Linked DNA regions of Schizosaccharomyces pombe. The protein of the gene in region 1 interacts with the protein of each later gene in a biochemical or structural test. Each region holds a gene or a part of one and is shown in the gene's direction. Other genes may lie near its edges.

The links.
Region 2: the proteins of smn1 (region 1) and gem6 form a complex in vitro, tested with the Schizosaccharomyces pombe proteins (one study listed by BioGRID).
Region 3: the proteins of smn1 (region 1) and gem7 form a complex in vitro, tested with the Schizosaccharomyces pombe proteins (one study listed by BioGRID).

Annotation. Positions count from the first base shown.
Region 1 is NC_003424.3:819,291-825,642, reverse strand, and holds smn1 (SMN complex subunit Smn1/Gem1), read left to right. Parts: upstream 1-2,688; 5' UTR 2,689-2,793; coding exon 2,794-3,154; exon of another isoform or gene 3,155-3,213; coding exon 3,214-3,311; 3' UTR 3,312-3,551; downstream 3,552-6,352. Other genes in the region: SPOM_SPAC2G11.09 (Ca(2+) transporter), read right to left, coding at 1-1,749, 1,859-1,904; protein phosphatase PP2C catalytic subunit Ptc3, read left to right, coding at 3,939-4,266, 4,525-4,598, 4,638-5,480; AAA family ATPase Vps4, read right to left, coding at 5,993-6,352. UniProt on the Schizosaccharomyces pombe protein: The SMN complex catalyzes the assembly of small nuclear ribonucleoproteins (snRNPs), the building blocks of the spliceosome, and thereby plays an important role in the splicing of cellular pre-mRNAs.
Region 2 is NC_003424.3:5,351,735-5,357,334, reverse strand, and holds gem6 (SMN complex subunit Gem6), read left to right. Parts: upstream 1-3,021; 5' UTR 3,022-3,115; coding exon 3,116-3,397; downstream 3,398-5,600. Other genes in the region: F-box/WD repeat protein Pop2, read right to left, coding at 93-2,204; pgc1 (glycerophosphoryl diester phosphodiesterase), read left to right, coding at 3,663-3,778, 3,910-4,729; Sec7 domain-containing protein sec71, read left to right, coding at 5,527-5,600.
Region 3 is NC_003423.3:2,786,671-2,792,376, forward strand, and holds gem7 (protein Gem7), read left to right. Parts: upstream 1-1,799; coding exon 1,800-2,075; 3' UTR 2,076-2,217; downstream 2,218-5,706. Other genes in the region: rec14 (Ski complex WD repeat subunit Ski8), read left to right, coding at 308-596, 650-1,269; H2O2 scavenger glutathione peroxidase Gpx1, read right to left, coding at 2,401-2,877; gamma-tubulin Gtb1, read left to right, coding at 4,800-4,848, 4,911-5,023, 5,073-5,126, 5,196-5,672.

The DNA of each region.
Region 1 (6,352 bases):
CAAGCTGTATCAATTTCAAAGGGAACATTCCAATACCTTGCAAAACTATTAAATCGATAAAAAATTGAGCTTGATGTGGTAACCTGTTGGCAAGGAAATGCGCAAAACTGGTGGTATCTTTTGCTAACTCCCAAATTGAAGTTGAACCAGCAATAACATAGACTAGAAAAAAGTTTACAAAGAGATAAGCATAATTCTTACCAACAGCGTAAATTTCCTCTTCAGCGCGAGAGCTCAGGCCTTGCATAGACGATAACCATCGAAAAAGAAATGGTGAAATGCTGATGAATAGTGAATAAACCAACGTTGGAAGGAAAGTGCGCAACAAAGAATTTAAAAAAGGGAGATCTTCAATCATACGACCAAGTTCCGGCCAGAGTCTTCGAATTGTATCTAAGTTAATAAATACGGCAATGGCTCCCACAGGAACAGTCCATAGCAAGATTATCATAAATGTAACGAGAGTTATGAACCAACCTTGAAAAAACTTATGCCATCTACCGATATAGGTATTATGCCACTGAATATCATTTGCTGCAGGTGCCAGTTCAATATGCAAACCCATCAATGATTTGCTGTCAATATGAGTTTGGGCTACAATTTGCGCAGTCGCCATAGATTCAAACGTTATAAACGCCTGACCTGTGGTAGGATAATCAAAAGAACGAGCATTTTCAATCTGTTGGCTTATTTTATAAAGCTTAGCCGAATAAAAATCGATTGCGTCAATCTTTTGACCAAAAATACCAAAAAAATGAGTTTTTATTAACGGATGGCATTGATGATGTTGCCAAGGAACCTCCAAAAGTTGTTCTGGTGTTGATTCAAGTTCTGCTCTGTTTGGACTAAGATAATTCGAAGGAGGTAAAGTGGAAATTCCAAGCTTTTTGCAGTTACTTAAATAGATAGACCAATATTTTTCTAATTTCTTGACGTATTTACTTTTTTTAGACAGTAATATATCCATGTATGAGTAATTTCGGCATATACTTAAACTGTCTATAGAACCCACATCTAATTTATCAAAATATGCTTTTAAATTTTCCGTTGAACAAAGTTCATTAGGTAAACCAGATATAAAAACGGTTCTGTCCGTCAATCTATTTTGACGAGCCAGATATGATTGACGAATGTCAGCAATCGATTTTGTTGAGGAAAAAAGAACATAAAGAAGAAAAATGGAAATAAAGTAAGTAAAAAGAACGTAAAGATAGAGAAATCCATCACCAGGCTGTGGAAGACCTGGTATATCAGATAAATTACCAATTGGATTAAATAAAGAAGGTCCTAACACACCAACATTTAACTCACTACCATTAGCAATAATAGGAGATTGTACAATTGACTTCTTGACAAGTGGACTTGAGAAGAAATATTCAGATTTGGCAGGCATCGACAAAGTAATATTCCCGAATGCATCTCCACGAAAATGCTTATTGACGGGCATAATAATCAAAACGCCAAGCAGGGAAGCAAAAGAAAGGAATTTTATACCCATTTTAAAAAACAATAAAAAAACGTAGCCGTCCAAACCAGCACAATTTTGCACTACATCATCAGGGATGTTTACTAAATCCATTAACCATTTGTAGTACGATGAAGAAAGTGTAGGTAAATTGAGACCTTCAATGGTAGTTCTAGGGGCATATAGTACTTTCCATCTTTTACGAAAGAAGCAAAAGAATACGCATGCAGAGGCTCCAAGTAAAAAGGCGAGCCAAAATTGAGTTCTTAAATCGCTCGATGGATCTGTTTTCAGCGATGAATCTCGAATCTGTAGGAATTAACACCCGCAGATCGAAGATTCAAACAACGTTAGCAATTTTGTTACAAATGAGGGAAGGATAGGTATACTTACTTTTTCTAGGATCACTGTCGAAAATACCATATCCATTGAAAGCCATTATTGCAAAGTAGCAAACTTAAGGGTCCTTTCGTCAAATTATCGAGGAATGAATGAACGATCGTTTCAGAAAATCGAGAACAAGAAAAATCTGATCTATCCAAGTATTATATGCATGTAAAAAGTAACGGAAAAAGGAAATTATCAAAAGATACACTATTGAAATATGTTATGATAGTTTTTCATGAACGAAAATCTTTAAAATATGAATGTATGTAGAGGAGGGATAGTAGAACGATACTCATCCAATACCCATTCGCATGGTCTTTCAGAATGCGATATGTACTTAACGTAAATTAAGATGACGATGCATAAAAATATGTAACGTAATTACGTGGAGCTACCTTAAATTCAATTAGGTAGTTTAAAATCTATCCCAGAAAGCTAACTTACTGAGAAGTCCTCGCTAAACCATATTAGCGCATGTAGCATTTAATGAATTATTCGTGTGGATATTAGATAACTGATTTAGGTTGATTTTTGTAGCTTATACAATTCCTTTTTCTTTTTGGTATAATAAAGCCAAAATCGTAAACAAAGATGAATTGGAATAAACATTCTTTCACAATACTTCCACGAGTTCACATCGCCATGTGCGAACCTCGTTATATCTTTGACCTCGAATTCTTGTAGTCCTGTCCACTAAGGCGGCTGATAGTTAAGGCAAGGAGCTAAGTTACCACAGCAGATTATAATTGTTGTAGTAAGCGGAATCGCCGAGCTCAAACTGTTTATCGTTATACGCGTTGTGCTTTATAAACAATATTTTCACTTTAATAATATTCAATTAATATAAGAGTTAACAAAGTTGGAAACTACTTGTTAATAAAGCTTTCTTAAGGTACAAAGAAAGACATACAGGAATAGATTATCTACAACTTGTACCAAAAATGGACCAGAGCCAAAAAGAAGTGTGGGATGATTCAGAGCTCAGAAATGCCTTTGAAACCGCTTTACATGAATTCAAAAAGTATCATAGTATTGAAGCAAAGGGAGGAGTATCGGACCCGGATTCTAGGCTAGATGGTGAAAAATTAATTTCAGCTGCACGGACAGAAGAATCAATAAGTAAGCTAGAAGAAGGTGAGCAGATGATAAATCAGCAAACAGAGACGACATTGGAAGGAGATACACATATCCAACAGTTTGCAGATAATAAAGGCCTTAGCGACGAAAAGCCTGAAACAAGGGCAGCAGAGACACATCAAGAGTTTATGGAAGTTCCTCCCCCTATAAGAGGGTTAACATATGGTAAGTAAAAGGTCTTCTAAGAAAATTTATGACTCTCTATTATTAACATAATGATTTAGACGAGACTTACAAAAAGCTTATCATGAGCTGGTACTATGCGGGCTACTATACAGGTTTAGCTGAAGGACTTGCTAAAAGTGAGCAACGTAAAGATTAGCTTCTTGTGCTATTTTTCAAAGTTATGTATATCTTCATTGTTGATGTTGTTATAAAACTGTTATCCTACTTGCTATTGCTAAGATTTATTACTCCTATCAAATAGTTCTATTTCAATTTTCTTTCTAATAAGTAGAATTTATTTGGTCATTTATTAAATCCAATGGAATTTTTAATTGAATCAAAATAATATCATTTTTGCCTAATAGAAATTTTTTCTGAATCAAGTTGCTGAATTTGTTGGGGCATTCTACTCAGCGTTGTTTTTGTCTCTATTGTAGTCATAGTAAAATGCAAACCATTGAAAAATCAATTTATAGGATATGCTATGTTTACACATGTTTTTTAATGAACATTTGAAATTTATAAGTATTTAGTCCTTGATACCATTTATTCTGTTGTTTACATATATGCCTTGACTACTGCTAATCTTGTTACCTTCCATAGTCTTTTAACAACTATCGTTCGTCTCCACGGTGGTGATGTAGTTGTAGAGGGTGCCACAACACTCCCTCCGACAAGCTCCACCACCTACTAGCGATTTACCTATCACTACTACATAACCCGTTTTGAAGCGACACAAAAAGAAAACGTGAAAATTTGTGTCATCTATTAGCAAGAGCTGTCAATGGGTCAGACATTATCAGAGCCAGTCACCGAGAAGCACTCGGTGAACGGGAGCAATGAGTTCGTCCTTTATGGACTTTCAAGCATGCAAGGATGGCGTATCTCAATGGAAGATGCTCATTCTGCTATACTTTCAATGGAGTGCTCTGCAGTAAAAGACCCGGTCGACTTTTTTGCGGTTTATGACGGCCACGGTGGAGACAAAGTCGCGAAATGGTGTGGAAGCAATCTTCCTCAGATTCTTGAAAAGAATCCTGATTTTCAGAAAGGCGATTTTGTTAATGCTTTGAAATCTTCATTTTTAAATGCTGATAAAGCTATTTTGGATGGTAAGTTTGTTGTTAACAATGATAAAGTTGTTTTCATTGATATCATAACCATTTTAAAGTCGCCAAAAAATTGATGAATTTTGTGTTTGAAATTTTTATAGATTTTTTGTTCTTTTGTCTAGTTAATGCTTAGAAAAATTGTTACCAAGATAATAGAAATGTTTACCTCTTGATGTTGAAAAGTTGTTACATTTAGTTTGGTTTCAGAAAAAAAATTTGTCATTTCACTACATTGCATTTTGCTAACTATTTTGACAGATGATCAATTTCATACGGATCCATCAGGTTGCACGGCCACTGTTGTTCTTCGTGTTGGAAATAAACTTTATTGTGTAAGTCTTGGAAGTTGTTTAGTCTTACTAATTGTGTAGGCTAATGCCGGTGACTCAAGAACTGTCCTTGGCAGTAAGGGAATTGCAAAACCTCTATCAGCAGACCATAAGCCTTCAAATGAAGCCGAAAAAGCCCGTATTTGTGCGGCTGGTGGCTTTGTAGACTTTGGCCGTGTAAATGGAAATTTGGCTTTGTCAAGAGCTATCGGTGATTTTGAGTTCAAAAACAGTAATTTAGAACCAGAAAAACAAATAGTTACTGCCTTACCGGATGTTGTTGTACATGAGATTACTGACGATGATGAATTCGTCGTACTCGCTTGTGATGGTATTTGGGATTGCAAGACTTCGCAGCAAGTGATCGAGTTTGTTAGACGTGGCATAGTTGCTGGAACCTCTCTTGAGAAGATTGCTGAAAATTTAATGGATAACTGCATAGCCAGTGACACCGAAACTACCGGCCTTGGTTGTGACAACATGACTGTTTGTATAGTTGCCTTATTGCAAGAAAACGATAAATCAGCATGGTATAAGAAGATTGCAGATAGAGTTGCCGCTAACGACGGACCCTGCGCTCCTCCTGAGTATGCCGAAAATCATGGCCCAGGATGGCGTAGTGGCGATAACAATAAGAAAGTTATTGTCCCACCTAATTTTCATCAAGTAAAGTTAAATGGATCTGATGGATATGACAAAGATGCGAATGAAAATTCTAAGGAAGATGATTCCACCAACGGATCCCTTGCAGCTGGGTTCAGATGGAAAGAACACTTTTTCCCTCATAAAGCCGAGGAGGAAAATTCTTCAAGTGAAACCGATATCGTAAATTCTAACAAAGATGTTGCGGATGATCATAAGGAGGCTGTGTCTGCAGCAGATTGATTATTCCCTACTTCACGCATATTACACAATGTAACTTGCTTTTAGGAATATTCCTCGTAATTAGCATTATTTGTTGACTTATTATAAAAGTCACGCTAGGCGGTTTTGTTTCAACATTTTTTCATGCTTTTCTTTTGTTGTTCGTATAATACGTGCCTGCGACGTATACCGATTACCTCCGAGAATGAAAAGGTTTTTGGTACGTTGCTACTTTGCACTTTTTGATAGCATGCGATTTCTATATCAATTTTGTCGAATACTGTCTTTTATAATCCTGATTCAAAATCAGTTAAGATTATGGAAAATATTTCTCTGGCATGAGTAAACATACCCAGACTAATTTCCGATTGCCCTAATAGATATTGTCGAAGCAATATACATTCCCTTCAATATTCTACTAGTTCCATAATTTACTAAAGTGATTCAACATTTGTGAGTGTAGTCATGATATTATACTTCTTTACAATAATGGTATCATTAAACTAAGCGAAAATAGCTCCTTTATCATATTACTATCCCTCTGCTCCAAAGTCCTTTGTAAATTGTGTGTGCTTTTCTATATCACCAGCATTAAGCGTAGGCTTGACTTTACGAACTGCACTGTAGAAATCTCGAACAGTAAGTTTTGGTTCCATAATGTCTTCAGGATTCACCTCTAGCCAACTAGATTCAAATGCATCAGGATCACCAGGAGAACAAGGAGTTACAAGGGTCCTATTAGACTTGTTATCATATACCTCTTTGAAATGGGTAGCTGTGTGAATTCGTCTTACAGGCTCCATTATTGCATCACGAACAACAATAGAAATATCTGAACCCGAGTAGCCATCGGTCATTTTAGCAAGTTCTTTGAAATCTTGTGAGGTCAGTTC
Region 2 (5,600 bases), 4.5 Mb from region 1:
ATTGTATACATTTAATATGTGTTAGTAGCTGATGTAAATAGTTAGACACTACTCTAATTATGTCTTCTTAAATATTGTTAAAATGAAACTTTCTACGGTCTTGATCCGGAAAAATTAATAACTTCCAAATATGCTTGATCATCACGCTGCACTGCAGCCACACAACGCATAGCATCAAAATCGACATGCCATATTTTTGTGAGGTCTGTTAATAGAAAACGTAACAGCTTTCCAGTCCTAACATCCCATAACTTTACAGAACCATCATTACCACTAATAATTTTGTGTTCATCTGACACAAAGCTACTAATGTAGCCTGAATTAGACGGCAAAACCATTAATGGTTTCCCAGTATTCAAATCCCATATTCTAATTGTGGAGTCAGCAGAACCTGATATCAACCTATTCTGGAATACATTAAGAAGCGTAACAAAGGCATCATGGCCTTCAAGCACATATTTACAAGTCCCTGTCGATAAATCCCAAACCCTAATGGACTTATCCATGCTACCGCTTATGCAAATATTCCTTTCTGGTTCATATAAAACACTATATATACGAAGACTATGACCCCGCAGATGGTAAAGACATTCCCCTGTTGAAACTCTCCAAATGCGAATTGAAGAATCATAACTCCCACTCACAAGTATATCACCATAGCCGGATATAGTTCGTACAGAGTCTGTATGTCCTATCAAAGTATGTACAAAATACGGGTTCTTCTCCCAACGGTCAATAGAGTTTGTATTATCTGGAAGATAAGGAGGATCCGTGTTTTTTGGAAGCTTCCAAACCCGAAGTGTATGATCCCGAGAGCCGCTGACAATGTACGGTTGATCTGGTTCAACAATTTCAACTCCATGGCGAATAAGACGACTCGGAACTAAGATCTCTAAGCATCTGATGATGGAAATATGTCCCCTAAATATGTGCGTACATTTAGCTTTCTCTATGTTCCAAACGCGAACAGTTTTATCGATCGAACCAGATACAAGTGTATTCTCATGTATTTTGACAGCCCAAACACCTTCTTTATGACCCTCTAATCGAGCTTCTAAAACACCGGTAATAGCATTATGAATTTGAATTGTTCCAGATCCCGAAGTGGTGATTATTCTGTCTTTATGAAGTAGTAAAGAAGTTATCATAAAGTTTGGAACATGAATGGGAAAAGATAGATGACTTGGAGGTATCGAAGGAAATAACCATCGTTTTCTATTGAGAAAATGTCTTTTGAAAATTTCCGGAAAATAGTCATCTGAGATTTGGTCGTTGTGCAAAAAAGGTGGACGATTTAAGTTTGGATTAGCATATTTCCAGTCATTTTCATTGATTTGAAAGCCAAATAAACTAAACATGTGTTTCCAGTATGAAGTATGCACATCAAGTATTCTATTCCAAGTAGGCGAAACAAGACGGCAAGAAAGAAAAGAATGTATATCCAGATTTAATAATATAGACTGAACAATGGAAAAAGGAAGATTTGAAAGTATATCTTTTTTTAGAAGCGGCTCGCATTCATTCAATAATAAACGCATCGATTGCCGATTGCACGAACGGAGTAGTTGAAAAAACGCATAAGATTGAATTCCTTCTGGAAGATCCTCAAAAGTTTGAACAATTGACTGTAAGTTTAAATCTTCAAGATCCTCAGAGATAGGTTTACTACCAGGTGAAACAGTGTTTGATGTGTCGACTTTCGGAGAAGGAGGGAAATTGTCGGAGTTAGATGAAATGCTATTATCTAACTTAATTCGATTGTTTCTATCAATTGATATAATTTTAGGTGGAAGAGAAGAATGAGAATATAGAAAATTCCTTTGAGGAACAAGGGAAATGGAAAAATCGCCAGGAACACTATCTGGCGGTGAGTGGTCTAAGCATTTATAAGAGACATTCTCTATACTTTCATTAAACTTTCGAAGAAAAGAAGGCGTACAAGAATGCTTTAATGGGTACTGATACGAATCAGTGCACGGCAGGGAAGAACTCGTATTGCCATTACAACTATTTGATTCTGAGCGAGGATCCGATGCAATTTGATCATCTTGAGGAAGCAGGTTATCCCCATGAATAAGTGAAGAAGGAAATACTTGAGGATCAAATGATTCTGGAGGTGTAGCAGGGCTGCTGCTATTTATTAAAGGAACAGAGGAATTTATACGGGAGGACGAATTGTCAGTTGGACACCTAGAGAGTGACATGCGTAGATGCAATGATTGTGATTTTTCGTTGAAATAAATAAGAAGTCAAAAATGAGCTTTAAGGAAAACAGTCGATAAAACAATCTGAAAATAAATTGGAAAAGAGACCAATGAAAAAGTTACTGACAGATTGGAAAGAAGAAACAACACCGTTATGGTTTGTTTCTACAGATTAATCAAAAACTGGCATATGCCGAAATTAGATACAGATTAAAAAGTGCGGGCATAAAGAGAAAATGAATAATGGAAAGGTTTTTTTATAAGTAATCTTTTAATTGAAAAAATAACAGAAGCTCAATATGCGTTGTTCATACCATACAGAATCTTTGTGTGTGGTAGGAGGCAAGTTCTGGCGGAGAATTTGTAAACAAAAGTTCGTACAATGCGAATGCAAAACTTGTAATAAAAAGATACATGAATTGATACTTTTTAAGTAAATAAATATAAAGCGGTACCTAAAACAGGAAACATGGATTAAGAAAATTGAGTAGAAGTTATATGATACAGATTAGCGTAAGCAGCGTTTTCAAACAAAATATATGCATTTTTTATTTTTCTGAGCTAGAATTTGATGTTCGTTGATAAATAAAATAAGTTTTATGGAAGTTAATACGAAAACTGATTGTAAATCCCATTGCTGGTATATTGTTAGCAAAAAAAACCATAATGGCCTAAGTATCAGTTTCATAAATTCAAAAACAACTAAAAATTTGGGTTCGAATGAAAAACATACTTGATTTACGTCTGCTACGGAAGCTATACTCATCTTGTAATTCCACGCCTCTCATACAGCTACCGAAAATTGCTACTACTTTTTGACCTGAACATAAACCGTGTTTTAAAAAGTTTGGTTTTTATTAATGTTTTTTTTATCTTTTTTGTTTTCTCACATTATTTGAATAATTAATGAAATGGATTCTCACACAACAGAAAAGCGTAGAGGTTCTTACCTGCGCGTCCTGTTTAAGAATGGACGTTTACCAGTAGAAGGATTTCTTTGGAACTGTGATCCCTTGACTGGAACATTAATTTTGATTCAACCTCTTACTCCCAATACAGACGAGGTTGAAGATACTCATTATCGTTTTTATGGTATAATGTCGGATGCTATTCAGACCATTGAACCCGACGAAAGTATGTCTCCTCTTAATCAACAATCGCTAGCAGAATATGATTCTCTATTAACTTCATGATGCGAATTGCATTCAGCGTTTGAAATATATGATTTGAATCTACAATTCTGATGGATAATTCGCTTCTTTTGCGAGGGAAATGTTTTCCTTCCTTTATCGTAAATTAACTATATAAAATATTGTTATACTGAATTGACTTCGACGAATCACTTCAACGCCTTTTTTGCAACCTGAGCGGAGCGGAGTGATATCATCGGACTACAGTAACTGGTATATAGTTGCTACATTCTTTACTTCTCCCAATACCAACATCGTTCTCTTCAAAATGGCTTTTAACTACTCAATTGCCAATACCGTTGATGATGCTGCTCAAAGCATTGCTGAAAATACGAGTTCTTTAGCCACGTTTTCAAAACCGCCTTTGGTCATTGCTCATAGAGGGTATGTTTTATGAATGTATTAGTTGCATACTGCTTTTATTATTAGTAGACTTAGTTTCATATCTGCAACTTTGTACCCTTAATTGTCAAAATCCTTCTCCAATTTAGCAAATGTTTAACTTATGTTTACAGATACAAAGCTAAGTATCCTGAAAATACTATACTAGCATTTCAACAAGCCGTAAAGGCTGGTGCTGACTGCGTTGAAACAGATGTTCGACTAACTAAAGATGAAGTGGTTTGCATTTTGCATGATAGAAATCTTAACAGAGTATTCGGTGTTGATGTTGATGTTCGAGATCTTGATTATGAATTGGATAATGGTCATTTTCGTACCATTCAAGAGCCTCACGAGCCGTTACCTACCTATGAACAATTTTTGCATGAATTAACCAAGCATCCTGGCGTCAATCTACTTGTTGACATTAAGCCAGTAAACGATTTGTTAATTATTCCCAGAATGGTTGATGCAATGCTTCGGGTTAATTCTGATTTAGACTTTTGGAAAGACAAAGTATCGTTTTGTTTATGGTCACATAGGTTCATCCCTGCTTGTGATCGATATGCCCCATCAATTCCGTTATATCATATTGGATTCAACTTCGCTTATGCTGAAAGACATTTTGTTATGCATCCCAGAGTAAAGGGTGTCAGTATGGCTGTTGCTCTGTTTTTACTTCCTCATTCTCAGGATTTTGTTGATCTCGTTCATGCCCAAGGTAAACAAGTCTTTGCATGGACTTTAAACACACCTTCTTCTATCTATCTTGCTTTAATTAGAGGCTGTGACGGACTTTTATCTGATGATCCGGTGATGGCTAGAGCTCTTTCCCAAGGCCCAATTGTTACCAAATCTTGGCATTATTTCCATTATTCCGAGTGGCTTCATATGATTTATGGTTTCTTACGAGCACAATTTGTCTTCTTTTTATTGAGAACCTTTGTGTTGTAAGTATGTTATTCTAAATATGGAAAATACATATATTATGATTGATGAATACTAGAATTCCGGTTTTAGTGATTGAGCATTTTTGTTGCTCTTCCATTTGTTTAAATCCCATCTCCCAATTTTTTCTTATTTGCTTGAGAGTTTACGCTCTATCTTTTTGTATTATTGCAATCGCTCACTAAAGATTTTTGTCATTAGGACAGCCACGTTGAAGCAGAAAAAAGAGAAATTCGCAAACATACGTGGCATTTCAATTGATAAAAAAGTTTTTTTCTATCGTTTTTTTCGTTTCAAAAATATACTTATTTACAATAAATAACATAACTTGGCAAGGCATTATGCCGTCCTAAATAATTTGCATTTAGTACGGAACAAGCGTATTCTGCAGTAGTAGTTTAATCATTGATACTCTTATTATCTTATGAAAACTAATATTTAAGAACTAGTTAACACTTTTAATAGTTTGAGTCAGTATATTAACAAAAGAGCCTTGATTCATCAACAATAGATGCTACCAGTTAACTATTAATATAAATTCGTCTATAAGAAGTTCAATGAGATTTTCTAATTAAAAAAAAAAAAACGTACTTAATTCGAAGCATGCTTCTAGCTTAAATTATCAAACAAATTACAAAGAAATGAATTTTATTTTTTTAGGGATATAATCAATGGTTAATTTTCAAAGAAAAAATTATGATCTGGTTCGTGGTGTGCAGAGTGGTAGTATACGTACCCATCCATTCATACTATAATACTTTCATAGCTGCATAGCTACAACATCAAATATCATACATGTCAAAATGACAGATTTGGAGATAGAAACCGTTAGTAGGGTTTCTAGTAATCCTGATGAAGTAAAAGGATCGTCTGTTGT
Region 3 (5,706 bases), on another chromosome or scaffold:
AAATTTGAAAAACCTACTATTGCCAAAAGTTTAAACAATTTAATTCAGTGTCACGGTTAACAACTAATAATCTCACCTTCTCATTTCTACCTACAGAAAAGAATTATTTTCTTTCATTCATACTTATAAATTCATCTTTTCACTAACATGTTTAGGGTATGTGCATAGACCGTGTATATCTAAGGAGAACGCAACCACAGTAAACTAAGTCCTGCTAGTCACAGGTTTAAGTATTATAAAGTATTGGAAAGCGCCAGCATTTTAATTACTAATTTTGTTGTATTATTTTCCTTATTTATTAGATACTATGAGGAAAGAGTATCTCGTTAGCCATATAGAAGAAAATGCACATCAAGCAGACATTTACTCTCTCAATGTAGTCGCAGGCAATCTTTGGTCGGCTTCTGGGGATTCCAAAATAAAAAAATGGTCTATAGGTGATGCTGAGCATAGCTTAGTTGAAGAAATAGATACCCCTCATAAACTTGGCGTTCATCATCTAGCAACTAGCTTGGATGAAAACGTCGTCGTTTCTTGCGGATTTGGACAGGATGTTTATGTTTGGAATCCTGAAACTAATGAATTTCGAGACTTGGGTACGAATTACTTTACGAAGAAGCTATGCATTTCTCTAACGAATATGATTTAGGTAATAATGCTCAACATCCCAGCGAATGCTGGTCTTCTTGCATTAGCCCTGATGGACAAACGATTGCTTTCACATCTGTAGACGGGCGTATTGCTGTCTGGGACAATCCAAGTGATTGCAAAATTTCCGAGTTAGATACCAAAGGTAAATTCGGTCTTTGTATAGACTATTCTCCCAATGGAAGATTTATCGTTTCTGGTCATCAAACTGGGCAGCTTTTCCTTATAAGTACAGAAACAGGACGCTTGTTTCATGTACTATCGGGCCACACTTCCCCTGTACGATCAGTGGCGTTCTCTCCTGGTTCAACACTTTTAGCTGCTGCCGGGGATTCTAAAATGATTACTATCTACGACGTTTTATCAGGGGATCAAGTCGGCCAACTTCGTGGTCATGCTGCATGGATTTTTGCAGTAGCTTTCAATCCCGTAGGTGATTTGTTGCTTTCGGCTGATGTTGAAGGAAAAATCAAAATCTGGGATATTGACACCATGGAATGTATTAGTACACAAAGTGAAACGGATGGAGCTATTTGGGCTGTGGCATGGTATAAAAATGGGTTCATCGTCGCAGGTGCTGATAAAAGTATTCGTTGGTATAGAGCTGCTGCTACAGAATAATTGCACTCTTGTGCTTTCTTAATGACCGATGGAAAAGTTTTTAAAAAATAGCAAAAAATTAAGGAGTTTCTAATATTTGGATTAATTATGAATATCAACACTTTACTCGTAAAACGAAAGGATCTTGAAATGGATTATTTTAGGGTAACGCATTTTTCTTTTCACTTTCATCATTACAAGTATGTTTGTATCATTGTTTACTTTCGTTCGATACGCTTTTACTTTTTATATAAATTATCTAAGCATAAATTCCTAAGGAAATACGAATCTCATTCAAAGTTTCCATTGTATTTAAAACATGAGTTGACTCATAATATCTATAAAAGTTTATTTTTTATTTTATAGGTAATGGTTAGCTTAGTTTCTTATGTGTTTTAACTGTATTACATTACGTGCCTAGAAAGTTTACTCTCACATACGATAACGACGCAAACCGTTTAAAACCATGCACATACTGCATATGTTATAATCTTTACTTTGAAGACTTTTTGTAATTCAAGATTACTTTTTGTTGATAAATTTTCACACTAATGGCAGAAAATAATAAAAAGTCTACTGCTTACATCCAGAGGATGCGAACACTAAAATTTTATCAAAAAATGGCTTCTGCGCGAATCCCGATCACTGTGTACCTCCACGATCAACGAGAAGTAAAAGCAGAATTTGGAGCGATAGACAGTAGTGAGTCAAAGTTGGCAGTTTCCAATCTACAAACCGATTGGGGCGTTATTAACAGAGCGGTGATACGAACAGGAGACGTCGTGGGCATCGAATACAATTTGGTGCAGGAAGAAGGAGAACTTTGATGATACATTACGATTTTCAGATACAGAAGCCTTAACAGCCATGGTATTCAATTCAGTGTTTACAGATGAGAAAGCGTGATGTACATAGTATGCATAGTTGTATAGAAGCGCAACATAATTAATGTTATTTATTTAGGAGGAATATTAAAAATAATATCGTAATATTGTATATTTTGCTGGATTAAAGCAAATAACTTTTGCGTCAAACGGATGGTAAATCGTGAAGTTCATTAAACTTCCAAAGGATCAGAAGAATTAGTGTGCCACTGAAATTAAAAGCGGGAAGAAATGATCGCTTACACTGCAAATTTGTTCCAGTATTTTTTTAAAGGACACTCTCGATATCGTTTTCGAGATGTTCAGGCTTGCTAATACTGGAATAGCGTTCGATGACTTGACCTTGACGATTGACCAAGAACTTTTCAAAATTCCACTTAATACGCTCAAGGCCAAGTTGCTTCTTTTGGCTCTTCAAGAATTGATAAACAGGGTCGACGTTGTCGCCATTAACATTGATCTTGGCCAGTACAGGGAAGGTTACGCCATAGTTCTTTTGGCAAAATTGAGCGATTTCTTCGTCAGAACCGGGTTCTTGGTTTCCAAATTGATTGCAAGGGAATCCAAGGATGATAAATCCTCTATCCTTGTATTTCTGATACAACGCCTCAAGACCTTTGTATTGAGGAGTGAATCCACATTTGCTCGCTGTATTGACAACAAGGACCACTTTACCCTTCAAGTTGCTGAAAGGAAAAGGATTTCCATCCTTGTCCTTAGGAGCCAAGTCGTAGAAATGAGACATTTTAACTTACAAAACTCAATACTAATAGAATGAGTAGGTTGAAAGTAAGGTGTAGCGCGGCTGACCGTCCTACTTATGTTTCCAGCTGACCTTATTTCATAATGACATCAGACCTTAGTTTGGGTCAACACGATCTTTTAACAAGAGAAATTTACGTAAAATTAATAAAAATTCCAAGGAAGAAAAGTCGGATCGCATTTATCAAAAGAAATCTTATTTATTTAATCAGTCTCACATTCTTTTTCCTTTGTTTGCTGCTTTTAAAGTTAAAAAAAGGATATGTCGCAGTATACTGCCATTGTCTTTTGTCAACATACCACCAAAATGACAGAAATTTTTGCTGCTATTTAGTAAAAATATTTCAAATTTCGTATTTGTAAAGGTTATGCATAGAATGGCTGAGACTCATACTTAAACAGTATAGGTATCTAAACATTGTATGGGGCGATTGTAGCAGCAAACGATTAAGTAGTTTGCGTTAGTTACAACACCTAGTAATGGTTTGCTACCTTTTGTTTAAAATAATAGTAGACGAGATTGCCAATGGCCGATGTTGTTTATCTTAAAGTTGAAAGTGAAGCGAAACCTTTTTCTAACTTTAAGAGTGGGATTTCTTCCATCCAAAAGAATATGCACTGCAACAAGATATAGGACACAGGCAAATTATTTGACAAAAACAAGGAACCGTATAACTACTTTTTTACTTTAATCTACAAATAAATTAGTAGGATGTAGAAAAAGGTATCAGTGATAGATTATTTATGTATTATCTTAAAAGTATTGTTTTTTGCCCTTTGAAGGGCAAAAAGCAAAAAGGATCAAAATTATGCTCCAGCAGTGACTTGAACACTGGGCCTCTTGCTTACTAGGCAAGCGCTCTACCACTGAGCTACAAGAGCTAGTTGGAATCATTTGCTAAAAGGTATATATATATGCATAACTATTAAGAAATGCTCAGTATTTTTTTGAAATAGAAAATGTTGATATTCGGTTTCTATTATTAAGTTTTAAATTCCAAACATTGTAAATATGTCGTCGTTCTTTACATTCTTTTTTTAATAAATCTTGGTTTAAGTTAAAACCCAATTTTACAAGCTCGCAACTTTGTTGTTAATAAAAAAAAATGTTACACCTGCTAAATAAATATTAAAATCAAACTGTTGTTGTGTGGTATTACCTTATTGAGCTTAATTATAATTTCAGTAAAAATTTATGTTCAATTTTTTTTTTTACTTTCAATTAATTTATTTATTTATTAATTTGTAAAATATTTAGACCTTTGCCAAATAATTATTTGTTAATTTTTCATTTTCTACAATCTGTATTAATTAAGATAAAATTGTCTTCAAAAATACTTTTAGTTTTTGGAAAATCATTTGTTTCAGTGTTTGAGTATCCACATGAATTGTCTAATTTTATATCACTATTATTTTTTTATTCGAACACTCATAAATTGTGTCTATTGTGTTACTTTCAATTTTAATATTTACATTCAAAGTTGCATATATTTTTTACGAAATAATGTACTAAATGATTTAGAAATATTTAGATACGATAGTAATCAATACTAAATTTTATGACACATTCTAAATTCACTTACTTTGGCTTTCTAATTTCCTGTTAGAAAAATTGTCATTCCTAATTGAATTTTGCAGCAATGCTCGAATCAGCTCCAAGGTTGATAAATTTATAGTCAAGAAATATGTAATTATTTATAATAATCTAGTCTAGTTGACCTGGAAAATGTTTGCTTTTCTTACTACCAACCTTCTCTTATCGACCTACAGTTCACCCAAGCACAGCGAAATACCTCAAGATACCCTTCTTTTGAAAACCACCTATTTCAGCAAAAAATCTTTCGCGGTTGTACTTTTAAGTAAGAAGCAAACATCAAAGATTGTTTGCTCCTTCATTGTTTAATCATGGGCAGAGAAATCATTACGTTACAAGCTGGTCAATGTGGTAATCAAAGTATGTTCACCTATACTACTATTAATCAAATCGAAATTCTAATTACTCACAAACTTGTCTAGTTGGTTCACAATTCTGGCAACAGTTGTGTTTGGAACATGGCATTGGGCCTGATGGCACGCTAGAAAGTTTCGCAACTGAGGGTGTTGATCGAAAAGACGTTTTTTTCTACCAGGTTGGTTTATTGATACACTTTAAAGTTTCAACATGTTAACTCATTTTAGTCTGATGATACTAGATACATTCCTAGAGCCATTTTGATTGATCTGGAACCAAGAGTATGTTATCGCATCCTTTTATTAGTATTTGCTGAAATATTCAAGTGACTAATGTCCTCTTTACCTTAGGTGGTCAACAATATTCTAAGCGACACCTACGGCAGCCTTTATAATCCCGAAAATATACTTATTACCAAAAATGGAGGAGGTGCTGGCAATAATTGGGCTAATGGTTATTCGCATGCTGAGAGGATTTTTGAAGATATAATGGACATGATAGATCGTGAAGCTGATGGAAGTGATTCTCTAGAGGGTTTCTCGCTTTTACATTCTATCGCTGGTGGAACGGGTTCTGGGCTGGGCTCTTTCTTGCTTGAGAGATTAAACGATCGTTATCCCAAGAAGATTATCCAAACTTATTCAGTATTCCCTAATAGTCAATCCGTATCAGATGTTGTGGTTCAGCCTTACAACAGTCTTCTTGCATTGAAGCGACTGACATTGAATGCTGATTCTGTTGTTGTGTTGGACAATGCAGCACTTGCTCATATTGCTGCTGATCGGTTACATACTCAGAACCCTACGTTTCATCAACAAAACCAATTGGTAATTGATTTATATTAGGTCTTTTCATCAACTA